4 linked regions of the Struthio camelus genome follow. The protein of the gene in region 3 purifies or fractionates together with the protein of the main gene of each other region. This does not show direct contact. Links are inferred from orthologs where the notes say so. Each region holds a gene or a part of one and is shown on either strand. Other genes may lie near its edges. The genes, in order: DPF2, BCL7A, SMARCC1 and SS18.

Region 1 (7,557 bases), on a different chromosome or scaffold from region 3:
TGGCTGGAAAGGTGCCATAAAAAGGGTTTTTTAAGTGCTCTTCCGGCGGGAAGCTGCGAGCAGAGATTTCCTTCCCAGCGAGTTTAGGACAGTCGCCGATGCCCCGCGAAATAACTGCTGCCAAGCAAACTTTATGTTTAAAAAAAAAAAAAAAGGGGCAGACTCTGCCAAGGAGAAAAACCGCTGCGGTTTTCTCTAAATGCAAAAAAAAAAAAAATGCCATTAAAGGTATTAGGAAGAGTTTATGTTTTACCGGAGCAGGAGAAACGCTTCTTATGCCAGGAAACAGATAAATGGGTTCGACAAACGGGATTATTGCTCCCTAGAGACTTTTTCCGGCTCTTACCCGTATACGACGCCGAACTGCTGCTACTCAGCAAATTTTAAGCGCCCTTAAGCGCAGCTTCCAGGAAAGTGGATCACCGCGGAAAGGAGCCTGGCAGTTTCGCGCGTTTTCGTTAAAAAACCGCCGGGGAAAAGAGCGGAAAGGATGCTCCTACCTCTCGCCTGCGTCCATACGGGCCCCGAGAGGGAGTCGGCGCCCCGTCGGCAAGCCGCGGTTCGTTTCCGGGCCGTTTCGCCTTTGCTAACGGTCGAAACGCTGCTCCGAAATGTCTCTTTTTAACGGATTTTGGACGGCCAGGAGAGAAGACGTCGCCGGGTTTATTACAAAAGACCCCGCCGGGAATCGAGGCGTCGGAGCGAAAGCGAGCGTGGAGGCGACGGCTCCCGGGAAACGCCGGAAAAACCCGGCTCAACAGCTGCCAAGTTTTTGAGCGTCGGCCGAGAAGGTTTTCAAGGGGGGGGAAAGAAAAATAAAAAAAAAAAAAAGAGAGAGATTCGGGCCGGAAAAGCTTCGGGTTGAAGCGGGAGGTGGCGGCAGCTCCGGCCGCGTCGTCGCTTCGCTTCGGGGGAAACCGAGAGGGTTTTTTCCGGAGAGGGAAAGAAGGGCGGAAGCTGCACTGAGCAGGGGGCGAAACCTGCTCCTTCCCGTGGGGGGGAAAAAAAAGCGGAAAAAAAAATATATATGTAACTTTAATATATATGTAACCTTGAGGTGACATAGGGCATCTTTTAAGCAGCTTTTTTTTTTTGGGGGGGGGCAGTATAGGGCCTGCCTGGGCCACCCCAGGGGGGTTTAAAACCTCCACCCTCGCAGTGCCGTATAGTGGAGGGCTCTATACCCTTCAAGGGCTCTATATGGCCCCTTTCAGACGGCTATATAGGGGCAGGCCCCCCCCAAGCTTTATAGGCCCCCCCTCCCCTTTATGAAGCCATATAGAGGGAGCCCCAGGCCCAGGGCTCTATAGAGCCCCCCTCACAGGGCCATATAAGGGGACTCCCCCCCACCCTCTATAGGGTCTCTTCACAGCACCATATAGAAATAAGCACTCCTAAAGGGCCCCTCTTAGAGGGCTGTGTGGGGGCAGCGACACCCACCGCCCGGGCTCTATAAGGGTCCCCTCACAGGGCTATACTGGGCAGGACCCTTACTCCTAGGCTCCATAGGCCCCCTCCTAGGGCCATGTAGGATGATACTCCCCCCCACAGCTCTATAGGTCCTCCATTATAGGGGGAGATGGACCCCTAGCCCCTGAGCTCTATAGAACCCCCCCACTGGAGCATACAGGGGGGATCCAGACCCCCACCGCTCTATACGACCCCTCGTAGGGCCATATAGGGGGGATCTCCATTCCCTGGGTCCTACAGGACCGCCTCATAGGACTGTATAGGGAAGGACCCCCACCCCCACTGCTCTATAGGATCACCTCACAGGACCTTATGGGGGGATTGAGATGCCCACGGCACTATATAGCACCTCCTCACAGGACCATATAGGAGGATCCAGACCCTCGCCGCTCTGTAGGACCCTCTTGCAAGACCATATGGGGGGAACCCTACCCCTACAGCTCTATATAGGACCCGCTCACAGAATCCTATAGGGGGATCCAGACCCCCTACTGCTCTGCGGGACTTCCTCATAGCACCATATGGGGGGAATCCCACCCCCATAGCTCTATATAGGACCCCCTCACAGGGCCACGTAGGGGGATCCAGACCCCCACCGCTCTATAGGAACCCCTCACAGGGCCACATAGGGGGATCCAGGCCCCATGGCACTATAGAGGATCCCCTCGCAGCAGCACATAGGGGGATCCAGACCCCCACCGCTCTATAGGACCCCCTCATAGGATCATATAGGGTGATCCAGACCCCCACAGCTCTATAGGACCCCCTCGCAAGACCATATGGGGGGAACCCCACCCCTATAACTCTATATAGGACCCCCTCATAGGGCCATATAGGGGGATCCAGACCCCCACCGCTCTATGGGACCCTCTCACAGGACCTTATGGGGGGAACCCCACCCCCACAGCTCTATATAGGACCACCTCACAGCATCATATAGGGGAATTTAGACCCCCACCGCTCTATAGGACCCCCTCACAGGACCATATAAGGGGATCCAGGCCCCTATGGCACTATAGAGGACCTCCTCGCAGCAGCACGTAGGGGGATCCAGACCCTCACCTTTCTATAGGACCCCCTCATAGGGCCATATAGGGGGATCCAGGCCCCCACAGCTCTATAGAACCCCCTCACAGGACCTTATAGGGGAACCCCACCCCCACCACTCTATAGGACCCCCTCACAGGACCTTATGGGGGATCCAGGCCCCCACGGCACTATAGAGGACCTCCTCACAGCATCATATAGGGGGATCCAAACCCCCACAGCTCTATAGGACCCCCTCGCAAGACCATATGGGAGGAACCTCACCCCCATAACTCTATATAGGACCCCCTCATAGGGCCATATAGGGGGATCCAGACCCCCACCGCTCTATGGGACCCTCTCACAGGACCTTATGGGGGGGACCCCACCCCCACAGCTCTATATAGGACCACCTCACAGCATCATATAGGGGGTTTCAGACCCCCACCGCTCTATAGGACCCCCTCACAGGGCCATATGAGGGGATCCCCCACCCCCACCGCTCTATAGGACCCCCTCACAGGGCCATATAGGTGTTCTCCCCCCACAGGACCCTATGGGGGAACCCAGGGCCCTTCAGCGGAGCCTCCCCCGGCCCCGGGCCCTGCGCGGCGCCCCCCGGCCGCCGACCCCGGCCGCTCTCGCCTTCCGCCACCGAGGAAACTTCGCCCCCAACAACGAGACCGGCCGCCTCGCCCCCCCCCCCGCCGCTTCTGCCCCCCCCCCGGTTCCGGTCACTTGGACTCGCCCGCGGCGAGGGCAGCGCCCCGCGTCCCGCGTCCCGCGCCCCGGCCGGGCCGAACCATTCTGCCCCCCCCCGCGGGGGGGGGGGAAAGGGAGCCACTCACAGCTTGACTACATTCTGTACCACCGCCGCCATCTTCCCTCCGCCGCCTGGGCCCTGCGCCGCCCAGCGCGCATGCGCCGAAGGAGGGGCCGGGCGGGGCGGGGGAGGAGGCGTGAGCACGGGGTGGGGGGGAGCCGCCGCTCGGCGCCTGCGCAGAAAGGCGGGGACGGCGGCCGCGGCCGCGCGGGCATGCGCAGTCTCGCCTCCCCCGCGCCGGCGCATGCGCTGAAGGCAAGGGCTGGCGCGGCTGGTTGCGCTGCTTTGCGCATGCGTCAAGCGCTGGGTGGCAGGGCGGGGCCTTGGCGCATGCGCGGGGGAAAAGGCGGGAAAGGGCTGAGGGGGGAGGCGCGAGGACGAGGAGGGAAAATGGAGGAACGAGGGGGAAAGGCGGGAAGGAGACGGAGGGGTGAGGGGGAAGAGCGAAGCGGGGACGGGGAAGAGCCGAGGGACGGAGCTGGAAAGCGGTAGGGGTGAGGGTGAAGGAAGGGAAGGGCTGATGGAGAGGAGGATGAAGGGTAGCGGGGAGGCAGAGTGAGGGAGGGGGTGGAGGGCTGAGGTAAAATGGAAGAGTCAAAGCCAAGGGTGAGGGAAAACAGGTGTGAATGATAGAAAAGGTGAAGGAAAAAGAAGGGAAAATCAGGTGTGAGTGATGGAAATGGGGGAGGAGAAGAAGGAGCAGGGGCAGCGGGAAGGGATAAAGGCTATTTGGATGGGGTGTAGAGGCCTGGGGAGGATGATGGATACTAGGAGGAAGGATGAAGAGCTGGGGAGGATGAAATGAGGGATAAGAGAGTAATAGGGGTGAGGGAGGGCGCCAGAGAAAGACCACGAGGCAAATGGTGCAGGATGAGGGAGACGAATGAAGGGAAGATGGAAGGATGGAGGTGGAGAGGCATAAAAGGATGGGAGAGTAAAATAAGGGTAGAAAAGAGGAAAAAAAAGAGGTAGGTAAGGGGAAAAGGTGAACGATGAAGCAAGAAGACATATAAGTGATGTAAAAAATGAGCAAATAGGATTGGGAGGGATTTGCTGAACAGCAGACTGATCTCTGCCCTGCACGAACAGATGACCGCTGCCTCGGCCGTGCACACGCTTCCCTAAACTGCTCTGAGCTCCCTCGGATGCAGTTGGGCACCTCGAGGAAAACCACCGTTTTGGGGCATTCGCAGGTTAAATGGCTTCGTTCCTGTCTGGGAACGCAAAGAGAAAGGGATGGGAAGTATTAAGCTGTGAATATTTGTAAATAATAAATAAATAACTGGAGCGATAAGGCAAGGAGAGAGGCTTTGATCAGTCTGGGGTCAGGTTTTACACCAGGACCATCATCACTGCAGACCGTTGCAGTCAATAAGTCACCTGCTGAGGGTGACTCAGATCTCCTGTGTCTGCAGCATCTTATGTCTGTTTTTTTTTTTTTTCCTTTGACAAAAAGCCTGAGGTGACCATGCTCCTGAATTAAAGCACAGCAGCTGGATGCCTGCAGCGAGGTGCGATGAATCGGAGCCAGAAGGCACGGCTGCATGAGCAATTTGCTGCACGGTAATTGGGAGGGGTGGATTTACCATGCTTTAAGCAGCTCCATCATAATTCCCTTACGGAGAAAACGCAGTCCGCAATGAAAGGCGAAAGAAGCAGAGTTGCCTCGAGGAAAAATTTTGAGGAAAAACTTAGCGGAGACCCGTGACCTTTGAATAAATGGGTTGTGAAGAACGGACCCAATTTATTTGTGCCTAACGGGGGTGGAGCGAGATGGGCAGGGCTTAAATCATAGCAAGAGAATTTGAAGCCAGACAGCAAGAGAAAAATGTCTAGTCGTAAATTACTGGTATAAATTGCCGTTATCGCAGCTCAGCCGAAGCACGGTTATTTGTTAATCTGCAATAACTCCATCATTAAACTGCGCCCCGGCTGCGCTTTCAAAGCGGAATAAGCAACCTTAATGCTCATTAAGCACATCCGTTCGGGGCACAGCCGTGCGATAGCTAGTCGGCTCTGCGTTTTCTTTATTAACGAACTCTTGATCTATCTTATGTTCCCCCAGCTGCAGGGTAGTCATTCCCTGCCCTCGTGGGACGCCGCGGCAATAGAACTGAGCTACTCAGCTGCAGCAAGGGACTGGGACAGAACACGCAGCGCCGTGAGGAGATTTGGGCCTAATTCTTACTCTACCGGGTAAAAAAGAATTCAGTGGGTGAGAGCGCGTTGCTTTATTTTGAGTGGCTTTTTTCCCCGCAGCCCAGCTGCGCCCGGCAACGTCTTGACGCTTTCTTGGCTCCTTCGCTTGGAAAGATGACAGCAGCAACGTTTTTGCTCTGTGTTTTGTTTTTTTGTTGTTGTTTGTTTGTTTTTTAATTCCATTACAGTCCAACCCTCCCCCCCGCCCGACACCTTCTCTAGCACGCAATTTAGCTCTTTGTCTGGAAAGCTTCCCCTTCTCCGTCCCCCAGGAAATTAGATTTGTGGCTCACGTTTAACAGGCGCCGCCGCCGCAGATTTGTTCGCGAGAAGGTGCCCTTGTTGGTACGTCTGGCGCTTTCCACTTGCCGGCCTGGAGGGCTACAGCACATCTCTTAAATTTACTTTCTTCCCCCTCGGGCGCATTTGCTTTCTTTCTTATTTTTTGCACAGTGAGGTTAGGCAGGAATCCGAAAACGCCGTAATTTGGGAGCTGCACAGACTGCTTGGCCTCCAGATAAGATGCCCAGTTCTCTGTCCCCAGGTAACACAAATTCTCTGCAGGTGTTTCTGTGGCTTCGGCATGCACTGCCACAGGGCCAGCAGGTCTCAAAACCAGCCAGCGGCCGTTTCAGGGGCAAACGGTAGGGTGATTTATCTAGTATCTGTAGGGAATCGCTGCTTTTGGTCAAAATGATTTTCAGTGCAGAAATCTATACTTTCGCATCACTTCCTCCCCTCCCTCATCCCACCTGAACCGCGAGGCCTTCTTTGGCTACAGAGAAACAGTTGTTAGCAGAACAGCTCTCCCCCCAGGGCCAACTTTCTAGCGTCTTTTCCCTAGAAATGTATTCCCCAAACTTATATCTTTGAGATCTTTTCCCTTCTGTTGAATCTAGGTTAGTCAAAGGTCTTCAAGTTTATTACCCGGGGCGGAGAGCGTGGCTTGTCCGATGGCTCTCGCCACCCAGGTGAATTCTTTTCTCTTTTTCTTTCTGTTTCCCCTTTCCACGCAGCCCCTCTTGATGGTTTTGGGGTTTTTTTTTCCTCCTTTCCACGCTAGGAAACTGTTTTCCAGCCACGTCGCTTTCCATCTACGTCCAAGGTTATACGACGAGCCAGGGACGCAGCCGGCGCTGAGGCGTTCTCTCCCTCTGCGACCGTGTTTCATCTCAGACCCGCTCCTCTTCCTAATCCCTCGGCGGCCGTAATTTGCATGCACGAGGTGGCTTTGTTTCCTCACCAGCTGTTCAGGAGCCCGAGCGATAAACAAGGCAGCACATAAAATCACTGCCCTGTTACTGGGGCTAATGGGAAGGTCACAATGCATCGGCTCATGCAGGTGTGACGGCGGTGACACTGGGGGTCAAGCACGCGACAAGGCAGCATCGCCCAGCGCTCCGATTTATTCCCTAGGGCCACGCGCCAAAACACACGCGCAGACCCAGCATGGGCGTTCCCGAGTTTATCATATAACTCATCTGCTGCCCGGAAACCTTTGGACGAGGAATAACCTGAAGTGTTTTTGAGGCCTGGGTAAAGCTGCTGTCAGCTGACAACCCCTGCTCTGTGCTACAGCTCGCTGCTGTCAGCTGACAACCCCTGCTCTGCGCTACAGCTCACCGGCCAGGAGCCGGATCCTCACATCGCAAACCCTCAGCTTGCGGTAAACCTGTTGCCCACCGCGCCAGAGCTGGAAATAAACTCTTGAGACCTTTGTTAACTTTTTCTGGCTAAAATCTCCTGAAAAAGCAAGGCTGTTGTTCAGCAATCGCAGGCTGAGTCGCAGCGGGGAACAGCTGAGAACCAGTAACTTTCCTGCCCGAATGACTCACACTTCTTAGAATGAGTATATTAAAAAAACCAAAAAACAAAACGCACATAGTTTTGCAATGCTCATTTCCATAAATCTCCGATTTGAGGAGTGACTAAGCCGGGAGGCAAACGCACAGGCGAACAACGGGGCAGGTTGCCAGGAAGGGGCCGGGACGCAGCAGGAAGCTCTTGTCGCGGCGCAGAAACTCCAGAGTGGGGAAAGC
Region 2 (7,540 bases), on a different chromosome or scaffold from region 3:
ATCAGGACACTTGTCCCAGTCAGCCACACCGTGCCTCCATCCTTAATGTTTGCACGGCTGTCCGAAAGTTCAGAAATCCTAGTTACCCACGCAAATCATTTCACTGCCTCCTTAGACACCCAACTACTTACACTTGTATACTGCCCACTATGTGTTCTCACCAGTAAAACTCTCTGCATTTTCTAGCATTTAATAAATCTTTTATAAAAAAAGAGCATTTCCATTATTTTGTAATGCTGGCTGAGAACGCAACAGTTTTCACCCCTTTCTGCTTGAGGGCCTGTTTAAGACCTACATATACTTGCCAATCTTTAAAACAAAAGATAAGCCCATATTGTTTATAATTCATTAAGTTAAATTTAACTCAGATGACTGTTTAATAGACTGGAAGAAACGTGACAGCTATTAAGAAGAAGTAGGTCTATGCTCTTAGCCATGGAAATACAGCGTTCTGCCACACAACCATGTATTTTGTAGGAAACATATTAGGTGTCTTCTAAAATAAATGCTCATTCATGAGAGTGATTTAAACGAAGGAGATTAGTTTTAATCTCGAGATTAACAAAACTATAATAACTCCACCGTTTACTATTATAAGTCAAGTTCCAGTAATACCAAAAGTGCTAGGCACGATACAAGCACGCATGAAGACAGGTGCCTGCACCAAAGGATGGATTTCTGTCTAAGAAAGAATTCATATTTCCTACGGGACAAACTCTGTACTGATGGAAACTCACTTCAAATAGGCATGCACACACACGTGGCAATACAGGCACACAGTAACACTCTACAACAAGGAGAGTTGCTGCTGCACACCTTCACCTACTGATGGGAGTGCTGGCCAGCACGCACCAGGGCCGCTGTCAGTTCAGAGAGGTTTGCAATACAGTCTGCCCCGCTTCTGTCTTCAGTGCGGAAATGCGACATGTACAAGTCTCAGAAAATTCTGTTCTATGAAACACCGTATGCAAGGTTTTTTAATCCTCAGTGGCTGCATTTCCACAGAAAAGCTGTGGATGGCAACAAATTGCTCCTATTATGCAAATGAAACTGCACACTGAAAATTGCCTATGTGGCTCTTCGTAAGATATAGGAATTGCTAGCGTATAAAGTTCAGTTTCACAAGTCTTCTCAAAACATCTGAACCACAAAACATAGAATCTCTCTTGCTAATTTTCAATGTACTTGACTGCAAGTGAACAGGGGGAAAAATAACCATGAGCTATACCAGCAAATTATTAATTCTTTTAAAAATATGAAAAATGGTTTGTGTAAATACTTGCGAGATGCACACGCAAAAAGCCATATGAATACTTCTGACCGTAATCAGAAGAAACACTTCGCATGATTCTGTACAGTAACCTTTTCAAACAAGCTCTCTCTCAGGAGGGTTAAAATGTACAAAATCTATTTATACCCTAAGATTCCTGTTTTATAGGGGAAGCCATAGCAACTGACATGATGGCAGAAAGCCCTTGCCAAGAGGAAAAAAAAAAAAAAAAAGACATTTTCTTGAATGGCCAAGCTCCTGCCTCTACTCCTCTCTGAAATCCACCAACTGGGATTCAAAGGAAACGCACTACACTCATGAATGAGATATCTACAAATAAAATAGTCCCACACATCCAACAATACTACTCTGATTAAAAAGTACTGCCACATCGCTATATAGTTTTGAGCCTTCCTAGCTGGCCAAAGAGTCAAAAAACAACACTTGAAAACATCACCAGAGAAGAAGAGAGTTCCTGAAATCAGCAGAGCTGTAATCCTCCGACTGCTTCGCTCCCTGCACAATGGAGGGATTCTCCGAAATCCCCATCTCGTGCCCTGCATTACGGGACACACATTTTGATTCTTTGTCCAGCTCAAGCCAACTGGCCCATTCATGTGCTCAAGGCCATTTAAAAGGCAACAACCCATTTTGCCAGGATAACACACACATTTAATTTCTGCTTCTTCTTCTTCTTTTTTTTTTTTTTTAATGAAATCAAAGTATTTAGCTGTGGATTACAAGAAAAGTGCCCCCTTATTTTATCAGGTTCAAAACAGCTACGCATAGGAAGAGACTTGCTGTGGATTTCACACGTTTACAGGAAGATTTTAAGATGCATGCACAAAGACTACTGAGCAGTCTACTTTTTGGAAGAAAGATCCAGTCTGGGCTCACACCGGCACGGCTCCTCATCCCATCCCAAAACACTAGACTGACTGCGCCCAACACTGCCATAACTGTGTTCCGCTGTATTGTTCCAACGCCTCGTGTTGATTTTGACAGGAAAAGCAGAAAAAAAAAAAAAGGCAAAAAGCGTGTTTCAAAAAAAAAAAAAAAAAGGCCAAAGCACTTTCCAGGCCCAACAAAAGGGAACGCTTTCGCCGGGGGTACAACCTCCAAGTGCACAACTTGGAGCCAATCCGAGCAGCAGTCGCGCCCTCCCCCGCTCCCGCTCCGCTCGGGATTCACGGCCCGACGGCCCCGCGTGGGTGCGAACCTGGGGGGACGGGACTTTTTTTTTTTTTGGGGGGGGGGGGAAACAAAACAACTCTTGGAGTTGTTCAGTGCCATTTTTAACGCTTCCCCCCCCCCCGCCCCAAACACTTCTCCAAGCGGCAGCTCCACGCGAAGCCGCCGGGCGCCCAGCTCGCCCCGGGCCCCCGCTCAGGGGAGGGCGGCGGCGGGAGGAGCCGCCACCACCGCCGTCCTTTCCCCGCTCTCCGGGGCCGGGAGCCGCGGGGCAGCGGGCCGGGCGGCGGCGAGGGGGCTCGGCCGCACAATGGAGCCGCCTCCGGCCCTCACACGCCGCCGCCGCCGCCGCCTTCATGTGACTCGCCGGAGCGAAATGGCTTCTGGGTGCCGGCGGCTCCCCCGCCCCCCGCGGCCGCCGGCGGGCTGCGGGCAGGGCGCGGGGGGCCGGAGGGGGCGGGCGCGGGGTCCCGGCGCGGCGCGGCCCGCTCACCATTTGCGCACTTTCTCGATGGCCGCCATCACCCGCTTGATATCATCCTTCGCCCGGCTCCGGGTCTCGGCCCGCACCGACCGGCCCGACATGCTGCTGGGAGGGGGGGAGGGGGGAAGGGGGAAGGGGAGGGAGGGGGCGGCGGCCGCGGTGCTCGGCTCGGCTCGGCTCGCGGCTCCCGTCCGTCCGTCCGTCCGCCCGCCCGCACAATGCTCCCTGCGCTCGGCTCCGCTCCGCTCGGCTCCGCTCGGCTCCGCCCGCCCGCCGGGGCCCGCGCACTGCGCACGCGCCCCGCGCCGCCGCCGCCGCCGGCAGCAGCAGCAGGAGCCCGCGCGCGCGGGGCCGAGGCGGGGCGGGGGGGGGGGGAGGAAGGGGGCGGCGCGCGCGCGGCAGAGGCGCCGCCAGGGCAGCGCGCGCCGGCGGCGGGCCGGACGCCTGGGCCCTTTGTTGGTGGCGAGGGGCGCGGGGCGGGGGGAGCCCGGCCGGAGGGATAAGGAGGAGCCGGACTCCTGGGCCCTTTGTTGGTGGCGAGGGATATTGGGGAGGGGGGGGGAAAGGAGAGAGGCCCGGACGCCTGGGTCGCGCGGGTGTCCCCGACGCTGAGGGCGTCACGTCCCCACAGCGAGGCCGCGGGGACAAACCGGGCCAAGGGGGAGCCGGGCTGGGGCGCGGGGCTGCCGCCGGCCCCCCTCGGCGCATGGGGGCTCGGCGTCGCCCTGGCGCGGCCCGCGCGCCCCACCAAGGGCAGGGGTCGCCTCTCCGCGCGGCCTGGGTGCCTGCGCTGAGAGGAAGATCCCCGGGGTGCTCAGTCTACGGGGTGTGTGTGTGGGGGGGGAATTCAGCCCGCTTGGCCTCAAACTTTGTTCTTAGCACACCGGATGCTGGAGCGTAGCCACCCCGCGAGGCGCGAGGGGGATATCCGAGTGACAACTGCGTCCAGCCCTTGTGCAAGTGGTTGTGACACCGTTTTGCAGACCTCGAGCGCGGTGACTGGCAATGCTTCCTGTTAAGCAAAACATCTGCTTTGTTAAACAGCACGTTTAATAAATCCACAAAATGCAGATTTTTTTTGCAGAGTCTGTAAGGCTTCTCAGCTGCCTAAAGTGCTTCCAAAAGCTTCCATGGAATTAGGGCGATGTAAAGGGGGTGAGGATCTGAGCCAGCACAGATACACGGGAGTGTTTGCGCATAGAAGTAAACGGGCAGAGAGAGCTACCTGCGAAGTCATGCTCTGCAGAAACTCTCTAACCTCACATACCCTGGTCACTGTGCTACTGGACTTCTTTATTAACTTGTACCTAGTTGTAACGTCTTGCTGTTTGTGCTAACTGAACAGCCCCAGATATTCTACGGTAGGTAACAGCAGTCTCGATTTAATAAACATTGCCACTGAAAGGAACGCTTCTTAAGGGCCTACATTATTATTCAAATTGATGCTGAGGAAGATGTAAAGAAGGAAGCGCGTTCAACAGCTCTTCACTGATCTTTCTACAGCAACTTATATCAGCTTCATTACACTGTTTATACAAACACTGTAAAATGCTGTCCCATTGGTATTACACTACTAATTGGAACTACTACTTTCAGAAAGAAAAACACAAGTTGTAAAGACCAAAATAGAAACCTGGTTTTAATTTGCATCTCACTGTTCCTTTCTTTACTGAGGGCTGAAGGATGGATTACTGATGGATTTATTTGTATAATTACCAATCCGTTCTGATGTATTCAGGCATTTTGTACATTACATTTATCAATGTAGACAATCCATATAATACTTTTACGTCGCTATTTGACTGTCAGGTTTTACAAATAAACATCGCCTCAGCATGATGAAAATAGACTGCATCAGAACAGCTTCATCTGGCACAAACCCACCCTAAAATGAATTCTGGGAAGATTCTAGCCAAGAACAGGGATGATCAATGCAAGAAGATAATGCACCGACTACTCTTTTATTCTTTGCAACCACCCCTGCGATTCTGTACATAGTGATGTTCTCTAATGGCTCACTGGACTACAAGATAGATGTTTTTACAGCGGAGTCTTCATGCTGCTCTCCCAGAAGATCACTTCAGGACGGCACCATGTTCATTTAAACCACTGTTTATTAACTTCCCTGCGAAAGGGTATTAGGAGTGTTGGCCATGCCTGAATGGCAGAAATACTTCCACTGATGATCTCCAAATCCAAACTTTCCACAGTAGCAGTACAGAAGGTGGAATACTAGGACCGTGCTTGATTTGGGAAATAGATTTGATCCCACAGGTTTGTGGCCTGCGCTAAACCAGGGGTTAGACAAGTGTTTGTTCAGTCTGAAATTATATTGCCTTTATTTTTTCATAAATGCAAAATACAAATTTCACAGATACTTGAGGAGAGGAGATTGCAAAGTAGGAACGAGTAGAAAACTTTGTAGCAGCTATGCTTCCGAGCCTTCGTGGATCCAAGATTCATCTCTTTTTTCTGTTCTGTTTTTTTCTGGTTCAGGAATAGGTAAGCCAAGAATGTCAGCAGTGAATATCTCTGCTGTGATTTCATCTGGAATTTCTTCTTCCAGTAAAGCTGCTGCACCTGGAGAGCAGTAACAACAACACCAACAACACAAAACAGACAACAGCAACATAAAAATGGGTTTCCACAGAGTAAGGTTTATAAGCAGCAGTTAAGTGGATGGAATGTTTTGAAGATGTCTGAAGCGATCGTGAAAAAGGATTGGCTTAGCTTAATACTTTATGCCCTTATACTTATGCCTTATAAGGGGACAAGCTGTCAAATCTGTGAGGCTGACAGCCTCATCCTGCAGTAAATACCTATCTCAGAAAAGTCACGAGAACAAATGGAACTTTTACACTCCGCTGATTTCACTTGGTTCTAGGATCTTACGGAATCCAGGGATTTCAAAGTTGGTTTACAGCGCTAGACAGTTCCCTTCAGAAGAGGTACCTTCGAAGCCCACAGGTCCGTGGGCTGACAGCCCTGACCGGATGCTGTTCCGGACTGGCGTGGACTGGGACATGAACTGTATAAAAATGTGGTACTTTGCAGCAGTTCCAATTAAAATGGGCAATGCTACTTGGATGAAATCAACACTATAATTTGCTATTCTAGACTGGTGTAGACTGGGACATATATTGTATACAAATGTGGTAGTTATCAACAGTTCCGTTATAATGGGCATTACTGCCTGGATGAAATCAACACTATAATTTGCATATTCTAGGATTCCCTTTTGCCTGTGGACTTTGGCATGTAAACCTTCCACTGTGTGCTTCTAATTTCAGTTCCAAGCCAGCAGATAAACACCAATGTAATCTTGTCAGGTCCCAGGTACATCTCATTGCTCATTTATTTTTATATACACCCATGCAATGGTTGCATGTATCAAGGACAATCTATAGCTCTATGGCTATTTTTGCAGTCCTGTCGGCATATTTTTGACAGCTCTTGGCCTAACAGGGTAATAGGTTTGCAATTTAAATTACTCTGTTGGGGAACCGAAGCAATTCTACTTCTGTGTTGCGTAGAACGATAATCCTGTGTACCTGAGGTATCGGAGGTGCCCGGTTTAGTTATTCCTCCCTCTGGATTCATGCCCAGCAAGGTAGTCAGACATGCTGCCAGCTCTTCTTCTGTCATATGCTCTCCTGTACAATAAAGCGAAACCAGTCTCTTGGGTTATGGTATCATTAACACAAAAACTAGCAGATAGCTCTAACAAGAACAGTGTACAAACAGAATAGGGTAGTATGAAGGAGGATTTGGTTTCTGTGAGATGCAGACCACATCACCAATGGAAATGCATGATCCCAACACAGGAAAGCGTTGATCCGAGGGAAAATTGTTCATGTATACTGTGCGTTTTGGCCAAACATATTTATCAAAGGGAGAAATTGGAGCCGTTGCTCCAACTGGAGCCGTTGCAGACGGCTTTTTAGGTTAGGTTGCACTTGCAAGGGCTTGTGCTTCTATTTCCACTGAAGAGCCCCTGGCACAGGACAGCCCACAGTCCAGGTAGCCCAGTGTCCGTGGCAGTAGCCAGTTCATCACTCAGAGGAGGAAGAGGAAGGTGTGGGAAAGTCTTTAATATAGTATCCCGGAATAACCTGAATGCAGCAGTTGTTCCCAGTTAACGGTTGCTCATGCCCTGAAGCATAAGGTTATAGATCTGTTATGAAATTGTTCTAGCGTGTCTAACGTATCTATTTATGGGTGTTCACACCAGCCATAGAAATAGCTACCCTTTCTCATACCGGTTGAATCCTTGGTTTCCAAGCATCTTTGTGGCAAGGAGTTTTACTAGTTGATGGACTGAATGAAACAACTTTTCTCTTCACCTATTTTAATGCTCAGCTGCACCAAATGCTCCTTGTTCTGACAATAGGAGCAAGACAATACAAGTACTTTATTTACTTTTCTATAGCACTGGTCATCAGTATATTTACACATGCCTTTACAATGCTCTCTCTGATTAAGCTAAACTAAACCATTCTCATCTTTTCAGACCTTCACATATAGATTCAGTCCAGAACTCTGACCATTTTCATCCCTCCTTTCTTGTCCCTCTCTTCTTCAGCTTTATATTACCT
Region 3 (7,752 bases):
TGCCTTGCCTACTCCTCTAGCTCACCCTCTCTGAGGTAGCCCTCCACACTTTCCTAAAAAAATAAAACAAAACACTGAAGCTCCTACCAGCTAACGTATAGACCTGGACGTACTTAACGCTCTGGGAATTGTCCTTAAGGACTACAACTAAGATCAAAACTATTTTATTCATACTTAAAGCAGTATGAATTAAAAAAAAAAACCCACTAAATTTTAGGAAAACATTTTAAACACAAGAAACAATTCCTCTTTATGACAGGCCATTTTAATATAAGCAATTTGTTGCTTAAAGTCAAAAGGATTACCTAAACAACACATAATATCAGAAATCACTGAGCATTAACACAATACATATGAGGTGGAGGAAAAACTCGGCAATTCACTTTTGAACTGCCAATTTCCACTTACAATGGACACCTTTATGACGCTAGAGTTAATCTTCCCAAACGCCATGAAAGATTTCAACTCCTCCAGGTCTTAAAAACCACAGCATGAAACACAGCTTGCAACTCACAAGGAAGAGAGGCCCACACATCCGAATTACAGTCCAAGGCCTGGGAAGAAGTACGGGACTTCCTATACCTTTCAACACAGGGAACGGGAGCAAGAAGAGTTACATATATCACACATACAAAAAGAGGGAAGGACATAGAAGGTCGGAATACACAATTTTGTTTTCTGTCATTATGCTTGGTGTCACTAATACTCCATCCCCAGTACTCCTTCCATCTTTATAAGCATCCTCTACTCAATCAGCTGTTTCTCCCCTCCGCAACACAAACTCCCAATGCACGCTGTCTTTCTGTACATCAATGGAAGGGCCTTCCTCACTGTCAACACTTTAGCTAGGAAGAAGAAACAGGCCTCAAAAGCTTGTTCCTCAGAAAGCAGTACGTCCTCTAACAGCAGAGCAGGGTTACAATACCCACGTCATTACCTAACAGAATTTATCACCAATAATCTCTACTGATAGCGATTCAACATACTGTCTAGAAAACCCCTATAAACTGTGAGGAATGGGTTTCCTAAGAGTCTGTGCAAGTCTTTCACGCTACTATTTAAACCTGTTGCTTTTTGAGCTATACTCTAGAGACACGGAGAACATCACTGTCTTGCACTTGTCTCTAGGCAAGTCTTCAAATACACAAGAAGGAAGAGATGCACAATCGCCGTTCTCTCACTCACTCCTTGCCCATCATGACTTCTGGACCTTTGATCAGGCTTGCTGTTCTCTGGATGCCCTCCAATTGGTCCACAATTTCCTTGGGGGCTTCCAGAGCTGGACACAATGCTACAGGTTAAGGTTTTACCAATGGAGAGATGTATAGATAGCAATTTTTAAGAGCGTATGATGGGCATATGTCACTTGTAATCCCCAAAGTACTCTTCTGAAATACGACATACCTGCTGCAAAACTGCCACCTGAATTACAGGAAACAAGAGTAAGAATGAAGTATCCACTATACAAAGCAGCATTTCCCAAGAAGAATTCAAGTCTGTTAGCTACAGTTTAAAAAGGAATTACCGATTCCATCTAGAGTTATCTTTAAACATTAGTACCAATAACCAATTTCCTTGTTTCACAAAACAAGGAGGACTTCTAGTTTTTGTTCTTACTTTTCAAGGAATTGATACAGCAATATCCGTACTGGGCAAGTAAATTTCAGATGTCTGCTTCGGCCAGTTCTGTTTACCTTCCAGAGTTTAAGAAGTAAATATAAGCATCTAATCTTTCTAATCAGTAATAGCAATTAAGTATAAAGTAATTATAACATAGAGTTCTGCTTCGATCTACAAAAGGAAAGCTCCCATCCCTGTACTACAGATAAGAGCCCTGCCAGGCTACAGTAAGGTGAGCACTAACTCATCTAGATAGTTTTCACTGACAACAGCAAGGGACGAGTAGAGTTAGCAATAACTGTTAACGCTTAAAATAACGCGACTTGGGAAAGCTCATCAGCAAAGTGGCACATGCCAGTTCTAAGCCATTTCAGAATCAAGAAACTTCTTATAATCTTGTCGATAATCCGTCACGACAACAAAACGAAATAACGTTCCTCCTCAAAAGTCTAGAAACAGTGGAAAAGGCACAATCAAAACAATAAAAGGTCAAACTAAAGACACCGTTTTACACTATTATTTCTTTATCAACACAGTTTAAGCTGCTCACTCAAATTATTACTGGTCCCCCGTTGCGCTGATTCAACTCTATGTGGCTGCACTCTAAAGAGATACGCAGAAAGACCGGTAAAACACACCTCTAACCATGTTGTGTTTTTATTTTTAAACCCAGATCAGTTCACACACGCGTTTCAGAGCGCTGCCGCACAAATAATCAAATCAACAGCACCAGCGGAGCAACAAGAGGTAAACTGGCCCATGCTTGTTTAAACCAGACCTCCCGAAGAAAAGACAGATTATATTTACCACAGATTCAGGGGACAGCAAAGAATAAAGCACACTCAGTTTGATTTCTACAAGGCGGTCCAGACACACACATCTGTCCTTGGGAAAGTTACTGTCAGCCAATTTTTCTCGACCTATGTATAAGGAATTGCACGGAAAGCTAGAAAACAGGAAAAACACCTAAAAAAAAAAAAAAAGGCAAGAAGCAGAACACAACAAAGGGTGGAAGAGGAACAAGGGTGCAAGGACAACACACAGCAAGCAACGGCGCTCCTGGATGGAAGTGAAGCAGCCATAACCAAAGCAGCAAGCATTTGGTTTGTCGCGTTTCATTAGATTTAGCAACACGCAGTTACCAACAGCATGAGCAGCCTTGTTTCCCCCCCCCCCTTTTTTTTAAACCCATTAACGCTTAAGGGGTGCGGCTTAAACGAAACCTAATATAACATCCTGGCAAGCCGCTCTAGGGACTTGTCTCCACAAGAAAAGTTACGGCTGCAGCTACAGCCGGTATAAACGCGGATGCGAGGCACGCGTTAACTCCGCGAAAACAGCTCTGATAAGACAAGGGGATGTCGGGTTTTTTCCCCCTTTTTTTTTTTTTTCTTTTTCCCCACCTCCCCACCCAGCCTGAACCGGCCGGAAACCTCCGCAGAGGGGTGGCTCGGTGCTGAGGCCGAGCCCGCACCCCCCCGGCGGCGAGGCGGCGGCTGACAAAGGCCGGCGGCGGAGCGCGGCCCCCCCCCCTCGCCGGGCCGCCCTGAGGCGACTTTCCCGCGCGCCGCGGCGAGCGGGCTCCGCGGGACCGTTAAACCGCCGCCTCGCCCGTTGTGAGGCGCCGCCAAGACCGGAACCGGGATCGGAACCGGGATCCCCCCCACCCCGAGCCGAACCGCACCTTCTTGTAGTGCTTCCCGAGCCAGACGCGGACCGAGTCGAGCTGGGACACCGTCTCCGGGCTCTCCCAAAACTTGCCCGTGGGACCGCCGTCCTTCCGCCGCGCCACCGAGAGCGCCGCCAGTCCCGGGCCGGCACCCACCGCTGCCGCCGCCGCCGCCGCCGCCGCGGCTCCGGCCCCCGCGGCGCCGCCGCCCGCCGCCACCGCCGCTGCCATTGTTACCCTCGCCGAGCGCCGCCACCGCGGCCCTGCGCCTCCCACTCGCTTCACTCCGCGCATGCGTCGAGCCCCGCACGCCCCGCCCCGCCGGGCATGCTCGGGAATACCGCTGCCCCCCGCCGCCGCCGCCGCCGCGCGTGCGCGTGCGCGCCGCTCCGCTCCGCTCCCCCCTCCCCGCGCCTCCTTCCCTGCCCCCGCGGCGGCCGTTGGGCGTCCGCGCTCCGCCGCGGTCAGCGCCTGCGCCCTCGCCGCCCCTCCCCCCCAAACGGCCGGCCGCCGCCACCGCTTCGGGGCGCATGCGCCGAGTTCCGTCCTCCTCCTCCTCCTCCTCCTCCTCCTCCTCCTCCTCCTCCTCCCCCCCCCCCGTGTGCGTCGGCCGGACTTCGGCGCATGCGCGCAGGGGGACCCATCGCCGCCACCACCACCATCACCTACCCGCCCCCCTCCGGCCAGCCTCGGCGCGTGCGCGCAGCCCTGCTCGCCGCCCCTCCCCCCCACCACCGCGCGTGCGCGTGCGCGGCGACGCCGCCGCCTCAGAGGGGCTCGCGGCGGCCGTTGTCGGGGCGACGCCGCCTCAGAGGGGCTCGCGGCGGCCGTTGGCGCGGCGGTGACGCCTCAGCGCGGCCGCGGCTCCCGCCATTTCCTCACAGCCCGGCCTTGAGGCCTGAGAGCGCCGAGCCGAGGCGGGGCGGGGGGTGACGCGCGGTGCCGGTCCGAAGAAGTGGCCGTGGGTTGAGGCGCGAAGTTGAGGGCGTGCTGAGAGAGCGGCCGCCTTCCCGCCTCGCTTAGGGCGCTTGTTCGGGTTCCTTGCTGCGCGAGCGGTGCGGCGGTGGGGTCCCTGGGTTTGCTGGGACGTGTCGTCCTTAGTGCTGGCGCGGCTCGGGTCGTTTGCCCGTGGTTCAGCCTCTGCTGCTGTCGCGCTGTGCTGGGCCGAGCTCCTGAGTAGGTTACCTGTGGCTGTGGAGACTGCAGCTCTGATGTGAGCTCCTTTTAAATCTCTTATCCCGGTAGAGAGGAGTTGGATGTATAGAGTGGGAAGTTAAACTTGTTCTGTTAAATGCCTCCTGACACTCATCTTTGGGCTAGCTGGTGGCCGTTGAAATTTCTGACACCACCGTTATGGCAGTAGATTTCTGCTGATATGAGAAATAAATCAGCCTGGCTGTTGCTGTTTGTATTATCCTGCTGTGGAAAGAGATGTCTGGGGAGCCGTTTACCTTCTTATATTTGCTACTCTGTCTTAGGAGCAGCGGACAGCAAAGCATCAGACCTCTGTATGGGATACCTGAAGGACATCTCATCCCGAGGTACTGCTGCAGAGATGTGACCAGGTTTATTGTTTTTTTTTTCCCTTCTGTATTTCTGAATACAGTTGGCCCATTGCTATAAGGACAGTTCTTGCATTCCTCGGCAGAGCTGAAATGAGCAGGCATGTCTCAGCCTTCGGACACCAGCCCAGGCTCTTTGTTCTCTAGTTGTTACCACAGGATGTGGTGGAGTGTTAGTGCCAGTGAAATCATTCCTGGGCAGCGTGATTGTGTGCGTTGTTCCTTCGGTGGCTAAAGCTTTGCACAGAAGAGAAAAAACGGCATTAAAATGAATAATGGTTGGAGGGGGGAAGGAAATGGAAGACCGGAAAACGGCCTCAGCCTTCAAAAAGGTTTGAAGCCTGTGATCTCCCCATTACGCAATGATTATACTGCTGAAAATAACAGGGTATGCATGTGATGATAAGCTGTCAAGCACTAAGCTTACAGATGGCTCTTTGTTCTAATTCGCTACTGCACCTGAGCTGGAAAGGGAAGCCGTTCCCTGGATCTGCTGGAAAGGGTAAGAATGACATGTACGGAGGGAAACAAAAGAGAAAAATATCATAATCTCGAGTAGTTCCTTGGATGGGTTATAGGGAGATATAGTATGTGGTTTTGCAGTCTGAGTCACTTAACGACAGTTTAGTGTTGGATGGCTTCGCAGCATGGCCTAGAGAAAACCATATTCACGCAACTCCAGGAGGATGAGTTGCTGCACAGGAGTAGAAAATCTTTTGGGGGGCAGAAATTCCTAAGGTCATAATTGCTATTAAGTTCCTCCTCTCTTGGAATCCTGATATATAGGACATACTTGTGTAAGTATGTAAGCATGAAGAAAAGAAAGGGGGAAGAAGAGGGGAAGGGAGGAGGACATAGTTGTACCTCAGTGAACTTTATGTGCCCTGATATTTTGTAAAAGCTCTCCGAAGAAATAAAATGAATTCAGATTCTGATGTTTATGACTGTGAAAACTAAGGAAAACGTTTGTATTTTAGTTACGTTAGAGAAGGAGATCTGGGTCTGCCTGCCCTGTAATCATAGGTTTCTGCTGTTAAGACTCATTCTCTTAGGTAGATTGGAATAGGATTAATATGGGCCTTGAAAGTGGAAAAGTATGGAATCAAGTATTTTATCTGGTGGAAACTGAGACTTTTGATGTGCCATGTAAGAACCTTGAGATTTCAAGGACGTGGGGAATGTTATTCAGGCCCTGCCTCCAGACATCTCAAATTATCTGCCTTTTTTTCATTCTGCCAAATTTAGAGTGTCCCTGCTTATCCTAATCTGAATTGTCTTTTGAGAGTGTAGACTAGCTTACCCCTCTGATTTATATGATTTCGCTGACTGTCACAGGGTAGGGAGAACTAGCTTTTAGCCTAGTTTCTTAAAGAAACGAGGCTTATTCAGTCATTTTTCCTGTCTGCGTTCCCAAACCTTCTAAGCGTTGGACCTGCTGACCGCCTTCAGTCATGCTTGGCAGACAACACAAATGCTGTGATTTCCTGGACAGCCGAGCGAGTAGTTTGTGCTCCAGAAGTGTGTCCTTTCCGCTCGGTCACCTGAGGCGTTCCAGGAATCTGAGCGTGCTGACCATTATGCTGGCAGTGGCATCATTTCCCTGCCTGTGGCAGGGAAAAAGGTTCAAGCCTGCAAACAAGACTAAGAAAAGAGCTGTACTTCAAGACTAGCTGACAGTTGACAAGGATGCGATAATCTTGTTTTAGGACGTGTCTAAGTGTGCGAACACCAGAGGAAGCAAAGGGAGAGTTCACAGTACAAGCAGGTGACTTGTGAACTGAAGCTCAGGTTTGCGTGGAAACTTTGAGAGGTTCAGTGGAGGTAGGTGATTAGGGAGTAAATTGGGTGCCTATATCTAGAACTGCCTTATGGTCAGTTTTGAGCCTAACAGGGTTCTCTTGGGAATTTATAGAAGGCTAATCAGAAAAAGCTGCCCTGCTGTGTGATCTCACGAAGAAAATATCTCATGGGAAGGGAGACCAGAGCAGGCAGAAGTGCAGAGAGTTCCTCTCTCTTAAGGGAGAGCTACAATTGCTCAGCATCCCACAGGGTGCTGCGTCAGTGCTCACAGGATCGTGGTCCTTCACTTCATCCCATACTATGGAGGATTGTAACCCCAGCAGAACAGAAATTTACAGCACGTGAAAAAGCTTACCTGGTTGGATTATGCTCAGTGGCGTTGTGAACAGTGCACACCTTGATGAAGCATCTGAGCACAGAAGACTAATGAGAGTTCTGTATGTAACCTGAAGGTAGCCAAGTTGATGCTGGCATCCCTTAGCAAAGAGGTGACAGTAGAGACTCGAGGTCTGCTTCCAGTCTTGAGAGATCTTGAACTTGCTTTCACTGTAAGCACAAGACCCAGCTTCCATACTGAGTGGAAGATTAAAAGGAGGAACATGTTGAAAGAAGACTCAGTACTGGCACAAAAGAAAAGTGGAGCAGTTGGTATTGCCTGAACTTGCCTGAACAGAGTTGGTAGTACTAATTTATAATCAAGGATATTTAGAAATAGACGAAACACTGACAGTCTTGCAGGATGCAGATGGCAGCCTAAGATGAGAAAAGATGCGGAGACATAAATTAAGAACCACCTACCTTGTACAGCCAACAAACCATTACAAAAGCAGTGAAAGATAATAGGGCCACAAGATGATTTTTGGACTGTGGAGGTGTTTGTATGTTGTCTTTTGGATCCCTGCCCCCCAAACTGCATGAAGAAACAAGTATTGGCTAGTAATAGCTGGCAAATTTACCCAACAGGTGGAAGCAGTTCTAACTCAAAACACAACCAGGGCAACTGCAAAGATACATCTGTTCTCATAATGGGGAGTCCCAAAGGAAGTTGAGACGTTAAAGGAGAAATTATGAAAGGTGTCAGACAGATTTAGCAGGGACTCT
Region 4 (8,020 bases), about 120 Mb from region 3:
TTAAATTGGCAGATTTTCAGATGCTAGCTCCATTTTGCATCAGGAAGAATTAACATGTATTCTGGGCATGTAGGAAATCCCCCCAAAGTCACAAGATCACACCAAGTCCAGTTAGTGAAGCCCATAGAAATACTGAGCCAAAAATTGTATTTCTTCCTTTTGGTAACTTTCCTTTTTATCTACCCAAGGAAGCTACTCCTTGAGATTTGCTGTAACTGCTCCCTGATTTCTAATCTAAAAATGTTAGGAAACACACAGGCATAAACCCAAAACTCTTTTCTTTTTTTTTTTTTTTTTTTAATCACAAGATGAAAAAAAAGTCAGCCCTAAAAAAAGGCTCAAATTTGCCCTGCCATCCTACTAGCACTAGACTCTGAGCTATCATATTTACTTTTAATAAAGTGATTCTTGTCAGTTTGAGGTGAATGCACAAAATGAGGTGCTGTCTCCGAGAAAGTTCTAACTCTCAGGAATCATTCTCAACACGATACTGCAATCTTTAGTCAAGCAGGTGTAAGCAGCATTACCAAAAACGTCTTTGCTCTCCTGTCTTGTACTGTCAGCTTAGTAAATACCAACTTTAAAATGTGAATTTAAGTTTTGAATTAAAATTTGAAAATGATGATGGATCAGCATTCTGTATTTTCCTGCTTGTGAAAGGGAATGTTTTCTGATCCCTTTTTATCCGTCTCTTCTATTCCAGGGAATTTATGGAAAATCGGATAATAAAAACGGCAGAAAATATAGGCAGAAACTGAAGCTACCTTATTTTTTTCTCAGAACCGTTGGAAGACCGCATCACTGCAAATCTTACAGCTTTCCCCAAAACTAAATCAAATGAAGCCCAGTGCAGTGAGGAATTTTGACACACTCCTGAGGAGGCTAAAATCACTCAACTGTTATGCGCTTCATTTCAAATAGATAGCTTTCTCTAGGAGCCATATGTTAATGCTTTCTGGACCCTAATCTCAGAGCCTATATTGTTACCCAGGTACTTGTGTTTGAGAAAGATGAGCTGGAAACACAGGGAAAAAAATGTTTCAGAAAAGGGCACATCCTTCTCTGTCTGCATTCTTCTCCCTTCAAAAAGTATGAAATACTGAAATACACATGAAAAAAAAAAAGGATGCTACACTGATAAAACTTGGAGCAGAGATGGAAAAGAGCTGGATGAAACATATTTTGTATTTGAAACTCTTTGTGATGATCTAGATTTATGTATCAAAATTACAATTAAATAATGTTAAGGTTGTGAGTAACTCAAGAGTAAAGAAATGTGCAATTAAAAAGAAAATATACCATATGTCCTTCGATATCTAGGCATATTGCAGTGCATTAAGAAAGTCATAAAAGAGACACCCTGTTGTGGTTATGTGTTCCGAGACATGTGGCACGTTTCCATTGTAGCTATCTATTTCCCTGCCTGTATGCATCTGTGCCATTATTTAAATGTTGATTTTCAATGTGATTTTCTCTTTCCCCGTTAAAAAATGGAGCTGCAGTCTCTTTTTTGAACTTTTCTTTAGATCATGAACATGGAAACCCCAAATTTTAAACATATGAATGTAAAATCATCACAAAGAAAGGGGAATAACTGGATTTAATTTACAACTACCAGATAAAACCAGGCAAAAGAGACAGTTTTAATTATTTTAAATGAATGATCTTTTCTTATGTCTGTATCTTCCTTTGGTAACAGCTGAATTCCAAACATTGTTCTGCATTTGGAATGGAAAACAGGAATGCACTTAAAAGTATCTAGTATTTAATTTAGGCCATCTCTGGGAATTAGGATGGGCAATTACTCCTTTCATTTTAAGGTTCCACCATCCCCGTGCAATCCCACAAACCTTTTTTTTTTTCTTCTACTGATCATCAGCCTGAAAGTGTGGGAGAGCACGATGCATTATTCTGAGCTTAAAAGCAATTGCTATGTGGCTGACACCTAACCCACATTGTGTCAAATACTGTCGTCACCAAGATACCCCAATGCAAAACATTTCAGAAACAGCAGCTGTCTAACTAGAGGATGGCAGCAAGGTTAGTTATACTTGTCGGAAGAGAACAGCATTTTGAAGAATTCTCAGTGTTCAGAATACTTCATGAGAATGTATTTGTCCTCTGATTGCTGAAGGTGCCTGCCGCCTTAGAATACTTTCCGACACATCCCTATTTCTCAAAAGCCAAGTATCTACTTCTGCTAAGGAAATAAGTCCTGTTTCTTCTATTGCAACTGGCTAGAAGGTAGTACCTTCTCATTCTATTCTGGCCACAGTGATCTTGTACTCTTTATTCTTAGGACTGTCATTTGTAGTATCTAGAAATAATATTGATTTGAGCACAGAGCTATTGCCACATCTCTGTGGTATGAGTGCACTCCAAGAATATTCAACAAAAACCATGAATGACCATGAAGCCCATCAACTTCAGAAAAAAGGGTTTCTTCAACCATTTCTTTTTGCCTTTGTTTTCCTACAAGTATGATAATACTGCTGCTACAGATAATAATGAAATGTGTGGGAAGGTGAGAGAAAAAAAACTGCTTGTACAAATAAAGTAAAGCGGACCTAGATACCATGGTGATGAGTGAAACGTGTAGAAACACAAACAACCTAATGGATATGCCGGCACTAGTCCTCCTCCTTAAAATGACCTATAGTGAAATGACTGGGCCAGAATCACTTTCTGGAGAGGACAGCAAGCCAGATTAGCATCGCATCAACTCAAGGTCCTATATAACCTGAAGAGACAGGGCAGAAGAAGCACCATTCTGGGAACAGAGAGAATCAGGCCCAGGCGACAGTCCCTTGGAGAGGGGGATGCTTTGGGAATGCAAGAACAGTTTGGAGACAGAAGCCTGGGAACTGGTTGTCAAGGGGGAAAAAAATAGGGGATGATGGGCAGTCACAGTCAATCCTAGGATAACAGAGCCAGGAAGAGCAATCTCCATGGGGCTGGGGAAACAAGCCAGCCTAGAAACAGTCGGAGGAGAGAGCATGCCAGTTGGGAAGCAGCTGCACAGCCACAGGGTGGCCGAGGATGCCACTTACAAATATATGTTGTAACCAAAAAGGCTAGGGCTGGAGGGAAGAGCCAGGGACTTGAGCCAGCAACAGCTGAGAGAGGGAAAGAGAGAAGCGCGCAGAATAAGGGAGAATATTCACATTTTGTTGTGTGGCGTCATGCAACAGAGCAGTGTCCCATCAGCCACAGGAGCAGGCATTTCTGTCAAGGACCAGAGCGCAAATCAGATACTGAAGGTCACTGCCCAATACGTCAGGAAGGAGATGCAGCATTCATGGCCTACAGCACAGCACTAAACAGCATCCAGGCAGGCCAGGGACGTGCCTGGGAAAAAGCAGATTTATGAAGTTTTAGTTTGGGATTTTCTACTTTTCTTTGCCATTACCTTTGAAACTCTTACTATTGTAAAGAACAGCCTTAGACTTTGCAAACTTGTGTATCAGAATATGTGGTGAAGCCCCAGAGATCCCTCCAAAGGCAGCACTGAAAAAAATCAAGGCTGCTTTCAGCAATTTTAGCGTCTATAATTTATTAAAAGTCGTAGCAGCACTTGTTTCTCCTTGTTCGGCTTCGTTTCCATGACAGAGAAGCTGTGGCCGGGGAGGTCAGTAGGGAAACTTAATCACACACAAGCTGGCTGGGCTGGCGGGGGGGGGGAGGGGGGAGTATACAGCCCCAGGGTCTGCTCTTAAACTTTTTTTTTTTTTTAAACCTGCCAGTTCTGGCAATGACTTGACAGCAAAAAACACCACCAGAAGCCTGGAAACGTCAGCGCGAACACTACTGGGCAAACGGCACGTGCCACCGCCAACGGCAAAAACGTCCCAGCGGCACCTCCCCTGCCTCGCATGCCCAGGCCTGCGGCTGCGGCTCCGGCTCCCCACGCGAGAGGCTCTGGCGGTGCCACACCGAAGTCGCCGCGGCCTCGCCCGGGACTTGAACGAGCGCAGGACCCGCCGCTGCCGCCGCTGCCGCCTCACAGCGCTCCCCCGCGCCGCCTTCCCCCGCCGCCTCACACGGCCGCCAGAGCGCACCGCCTGGGCGCAACCAGCGCGGCCGCGGGTGGCGGGGGGAGGAGAGCGCGTTCCTCGGCACAGCCGGAGTGCGTCCCCTGTAACGTGAGCGCTAAAGCGCTCCCCTTCCCCCTCCTCTTCCCCGCCCCCCCCCCCTCGCCGGCCGTACCACTTCGCTGCCTGTCCGGCGCGGAGCCGCGTTGAGCAGGAACGTACCAACGCCAGGAAGGGAAAGGGGTAGCCAAAAAGGCCTCGTGACTGACGGAGGCCACATTTAAACGGAGCGGCGCCGATTCTTGCTCCTTTTGCTTTTCTGAAACCCAGGGAGGCGGCCACCGCCTTATCGACTCTCCCTCTCCGTGCCGGAGAGGGAGGAAGAATACCCTTCCCCCTTTCACCTTTCCCCGGCGGGGTAGAGATGGGCTGGCCCGATGGGCAGCCGCCCCCTCGCCCCGCCCCCCCGGCGCAGCGCGTTCTTCCCGGATCGCTGCCGCCTCCCGCTGCTGTTGGTTGCGCGGGGCGCGTGAGCGGGCGGGCGGCGGGGGCGGCCCCTCCTTGCAGCGGCCCGACATGTCGGTGGCGTTCGCGGCCCCGAGGCAGCGGGGGAAGGGCGAGATCACGCCGGCCGCCATCCAGAAGGTGAGGGCGCGAGAGAGGAGGGGCTCGGCCCGGCCTGGCCCGGCCCCGGGGGCTGCGGCTGCTTCCTGGCGTCGGGACGTGCGCGGAGGGGGGTGGAGGCGAGGCCCCGGGGCGCCCAAAGCCCCTCGGCGGGGCGGCGGCGGCCGGGCCGCGCTGGCGGCGGCCGGGCTGTGGCGCGGCGGGGTCCGACCCCGCGCAGCGGTCGGTGGGCGCGGGGCCGCCCCGCTGCGCTCTGCCACTTGTTCTGGGGGGCGCGGGGCGGCGCCGCCGCTGCCGCCGCCCACGGGTGTTCGCCGTGGGGTGGGCGCGGCGCGGGGAGGCCGCGCGCGCGCGGGGCGGCGGTTGCCCCGGCCCCCCTGCGCGCCCCCGCGCGCCCCCGGGGGGACACGGCACCCGGCGGCCGTGTGGCAAGCGCGAGTCAGCCCTTCAGTACGCTTCGCCCGCGGCACCTGGGGCGAACGAAGAAGTCGGCGAAGCCGTTCCTGTGAGAGGTGCTTGCAAGTGACGCCGCGGTCCTGCTGCTGCTGCTGCTAAGCCCTGTGTAAATGTGATCTCTCTCTCCGTGGGGTGAGCAGAGACTCCCAGATTTGGCTTACCTTTTAATTCCCCTACCCCTGCCCCAAACAAAACCCTCTAAAGTGCTGTTATGGGGGAAGGCTGTGGCTAGAGCTGATGGCAGGGACTTGGGATGCGTCCGTCTAGGCTCCTGTGGGAGGAAGCAAGCTAACTTGCCAAAAGCAACGAGAGAAAGCGTGTTTAGGACTTGTAATAATTAACGATATGTCGCATTGGCAGAGGCAAAAGAGCACACTGAAGTTCAGTGCTGACTCTGTAACATTTGGAAACCTAACTTTAGACCCTCTCTGTCCTCAGTTTAAATCGTGATCTGAAATCTGTTTTAATTTATGGCCGTCAGCTCCTCCTGTAGGAGGAGATGCCTTCCATTTAGATAAATCAGGTGCTGACTTTATTAGAGGACAAGGATGTCAGCAAGGTGTCAAAGTTGTAGGGATCAGGACCTCAAAGAAGACCTCAGAGTTATGATGCAGACCTCTGCAGTAGTGGAGCAGAAGTAGTCTGTGCTTGAGAAGCATAGCCAAAAAGTACACGCCCACTGAGCTGCCTACCAGTAGGTAGTAGAGACTTCAGTTCACTGGGATGCATATAAAGAATGTAGGCACTTAAGGTTTTTTTTTCTTGTGCTGTAGGCCTACCGTTGATTTGATGCTGCCATGCTTGCAAAATCCTAGTATAGGTATAGCTAACAAGTTTTTGTAGTGTTCCTAAGCTGTTGGAAGCCTTGGAGGTGTCTTCATCTGGCTGGAAACTTAAGATTCTTTCTTGGTGATAGGTGCTTATAATTCTTTCAGAGAACTATTTCAATTCTTTATCGGTAACTGCTTGATGAAAACGTTATAAAACAGTGCCTGCAGCCTAGTCTAGGCTATAGTTGTATTCCATTTTATTTACTTTCTTCCTGGCCCTAGCATTTTTTTTCCCCCTCTCCAAAGAGATCTGGCTTACCTGAGAGGGGGAGGGGAAAGGGAATGGAATCATCTAACTGGAAGTCTGATGATCTACTCCCTTTAAGTATATGCTGTCTTCCACTGGAAGATGGAAGTGTTCTGATGAGAGCCTTCATCCAAGGCTCCCTTTACAAATGCGCTGTCTGTTGTATATGAGAAACAGACTTGTATTTGTCTATATATATATATATAGACATACATACATATATTTTATTTATTTACATATTTGCTCCTTTTTCCTCATTTTTTTCTGGTGAAAGTAGCTACTGTATTTCTTACAGAACTTGATGTTAGTACACGTGAAGTGTGTCTGTATATGGGTGTATATGGGTCGGCAAGCCCCTTTAGAGCATGGAAGTACATCTCTTCCTAGTTTCTGGAGTTCAGACGGATGTTCGAAACATTGCAGTTCTGTATGTGTCTGTTGCTTAAGGACAGTGTTTCCAGGTCTAGCAATTTTAGGCAAGGACGATTGCTTACTGACTGTTCTTGTCAATTCTGGCAAGTTACTGGTTTAAGTTTAGGAAGACTTGGTTTATTGGCTTATTAGTTCTTACATGGATACAAGTCTTGAGTGGACTGTATGAGGTCTCTGAATCTGTACCTTTTTCATATTAAAGATAGGTTATTTGGAAGAAAAAATAAATATTTTAATAGGTTTTTTGTTTGTTTTTATGTTAGATTCTTACAGAGTTGAGGATGCTGTAATTATGGTGTCTGTGCTTCCCTTTCAGAGTCATAAGCCTGCTTTCTAATTTCAGCCGTGTTTGGAAGGGAGATAATTAAGACCCTACCGGTTTTGTGAAATTCAGGAGCTGCAAAAGAGATCTTAAACTAGCCCTCCACTGAGGGCAAAATGCAGGAAAAAGTTAGTGTGAAGTTTTCCATTTGGCTGTAAATTTTTTTGTTTAGTTCAATTAACCTGGATAATTTGGCTGGTAGCTCAGACTAGCCATAGTTCTGCTGTGTCTTGTCTGACCAGAGTGCAAGGGAGTGATTAAGAGGATGTGTGTGTAGGGATGTGCAGCTCTGAGACCAGAGTATATTATTTTTCCTGCTTATGGAACTCAGCAACATCTTGAATTAATGAGTTTTCAGTTTTCAACTGAAAACTGAGAGGGAGGAAGGGGGAGATGGTAGCAAAATAGGTTCTATAAATAATTGGTTGAAATAAAGCTTTTTAGAACACTTGCTTAAAAAGAAGTAGGAGCAAGAATCAAACTCGTCATCAGTTTCTTTCCCTAAAAAGCATGAAACTTATTCTAAACTTTTTTGTCGTTTCAGATGTTGGATGAAAATAACCACCTTATTCAGTGTATAATGGACTATCAGAACAAAGGAAAGACATCTGAATGCTCTCAGTAAGACATTAATCCAGATCTACTGTAAACTGGGTGAATTTCCATCTAGACTGCAGTTCTTGATTTGTTTAGACTCTAGGAGAACTATGCTACTATGAATATAAAACTATTGCTGCAGATATTACATTTATGATTTATTTTCTTTGCAATATGACTATCACTTCTATCGCTAAAAAGTTGTAACTTGACTACTGCAGGTTGATAGCATGCTCCCAATTATGGGGACTGCATAACCAAAATATAGAGACTTTTTTTACCTGTATCATAATTGCACTTTGGGAAGGAGGTAGTTTGTTTCTCAAACCTTCAAAGATATCATAGTATAATATAGTTTTAACACAATATTTGGACAAATATTCCATCATGTGCCAGATGGGACGTCTCAGTCCTATTGAGTCTCTTCCTAAGGTGACTGGTGGTCTGTGGGGTAGGTATTTTTATTTATTTTTGCTTTTAT

What was found.
Region 1: the proteins of SMARCC1 (region 3) and DPF2 purify together in Homo sapiens (affinity purification with mass spectrometry; 9 studies listed by BioGRID and IntAct, counting the BioPlex papers as one, with this or other methods). This does not show direct contact. The link is inferred for Struthio camelus from reciprocal best matches to the Homo sapiens genes SMARCC1 and DPF2.
Region 2: the proteins of SMARCC1 (region 3) and BCL7A purify together in Homo sapiens (affinity purification with mass spectrometry; 4 studies listed by BioGRID and IntAct, counting the BioPlex papers as one, with this or other methods). This does not show direct contact. The link is inferred for Struthio camelus from reciprocal best matches to the Homo sapiens genes SMARCC1 and BCL7A.
Region 4: the proteins of SMARCC1 (region 3) and SS18 purify together in Homo sapiens (affinity purification with mass spectrometry; 4 studies listed by BioGRID and IntAct, counting the BioPlex papers as one, with this or other methods). This does not show direct contact. The link is inferred for Struthio camelus from reciprocal best matches to the Homo sapiens genes SMARCC1 and SS18.

What each region holds. Positions count from the first base shown.
Region 1 is NC_090976.1:840,840-848,396, reverse strand, and holds the start of DPF2 (zinc finger protein ubi-d4), read right to left. Parts: upstream 3,431-7,557; 5' UTR 3,377-3,430; coding exon 3,345-3,376; intron 981-3,344; exon of another isoform or gene 518-980; coding exon of another isoform or gene 501-517; intron 1-500. UniProt on the Homo sapiens protein: Plays an active role in transcriptional regulation by binding modified histones H3 and H4. Is a negative regulator of myeloid differentiation of hematopoietic progenitor cells. Might also have a role in the development and maturation of lymphoid cells.
Region 2 is NC_090958.1:17,698,872-17,706,411, reverse strand, and holds the start of BCL7A (B-cell CLL/lymphoma 7 protein family member A), read right to left. Parts: upstream 3,219-7,540; 5' UTR 3,047-3,218; coding exon 2,955-3,046; intron 1-2,954.
Region 3 is NC_090943.1:1,278,391-1,286,142, reverse strand, and holds the start of SMARCC1 (SWI/SNF complex subunit SMARCC1), read right to left. Parts: upstream 3,584-7,752; coding exon 3,305-3,583; intron 1-3,304. UniProt on the Homo sapiens protein: Involved in transcriptional activation and repression of select genes by chromatin remodeling (alteration of DNA-nucleosome topology).
Region 4 is NC_090943.1:122,326,665-122,334,684, reverse strand, and holds the start of SS18 (protein SSXT), read left to right. Parts: upstream 1-4,607; coding exon 4,608-4,676; intron 4,677-5,046; exon of another isoform or gene 5,047-5,243; intron 5,244-7,486; coding exon 7,487-7,563; intron 7,564-8,020. Other genes in the region: PSMA8 (proteasome subunit alpha-type 8), read right to left, coding at 4,254-4,609. UniProt on the Homo sapiens protein: Appears to function synergistically with RBM14 as a transcriptional coactivator. Isoform 1 and isoform 2 function in nuclear receptor coactivation. Isoform 1 and isoform 2 function in general transcriptional coactivation.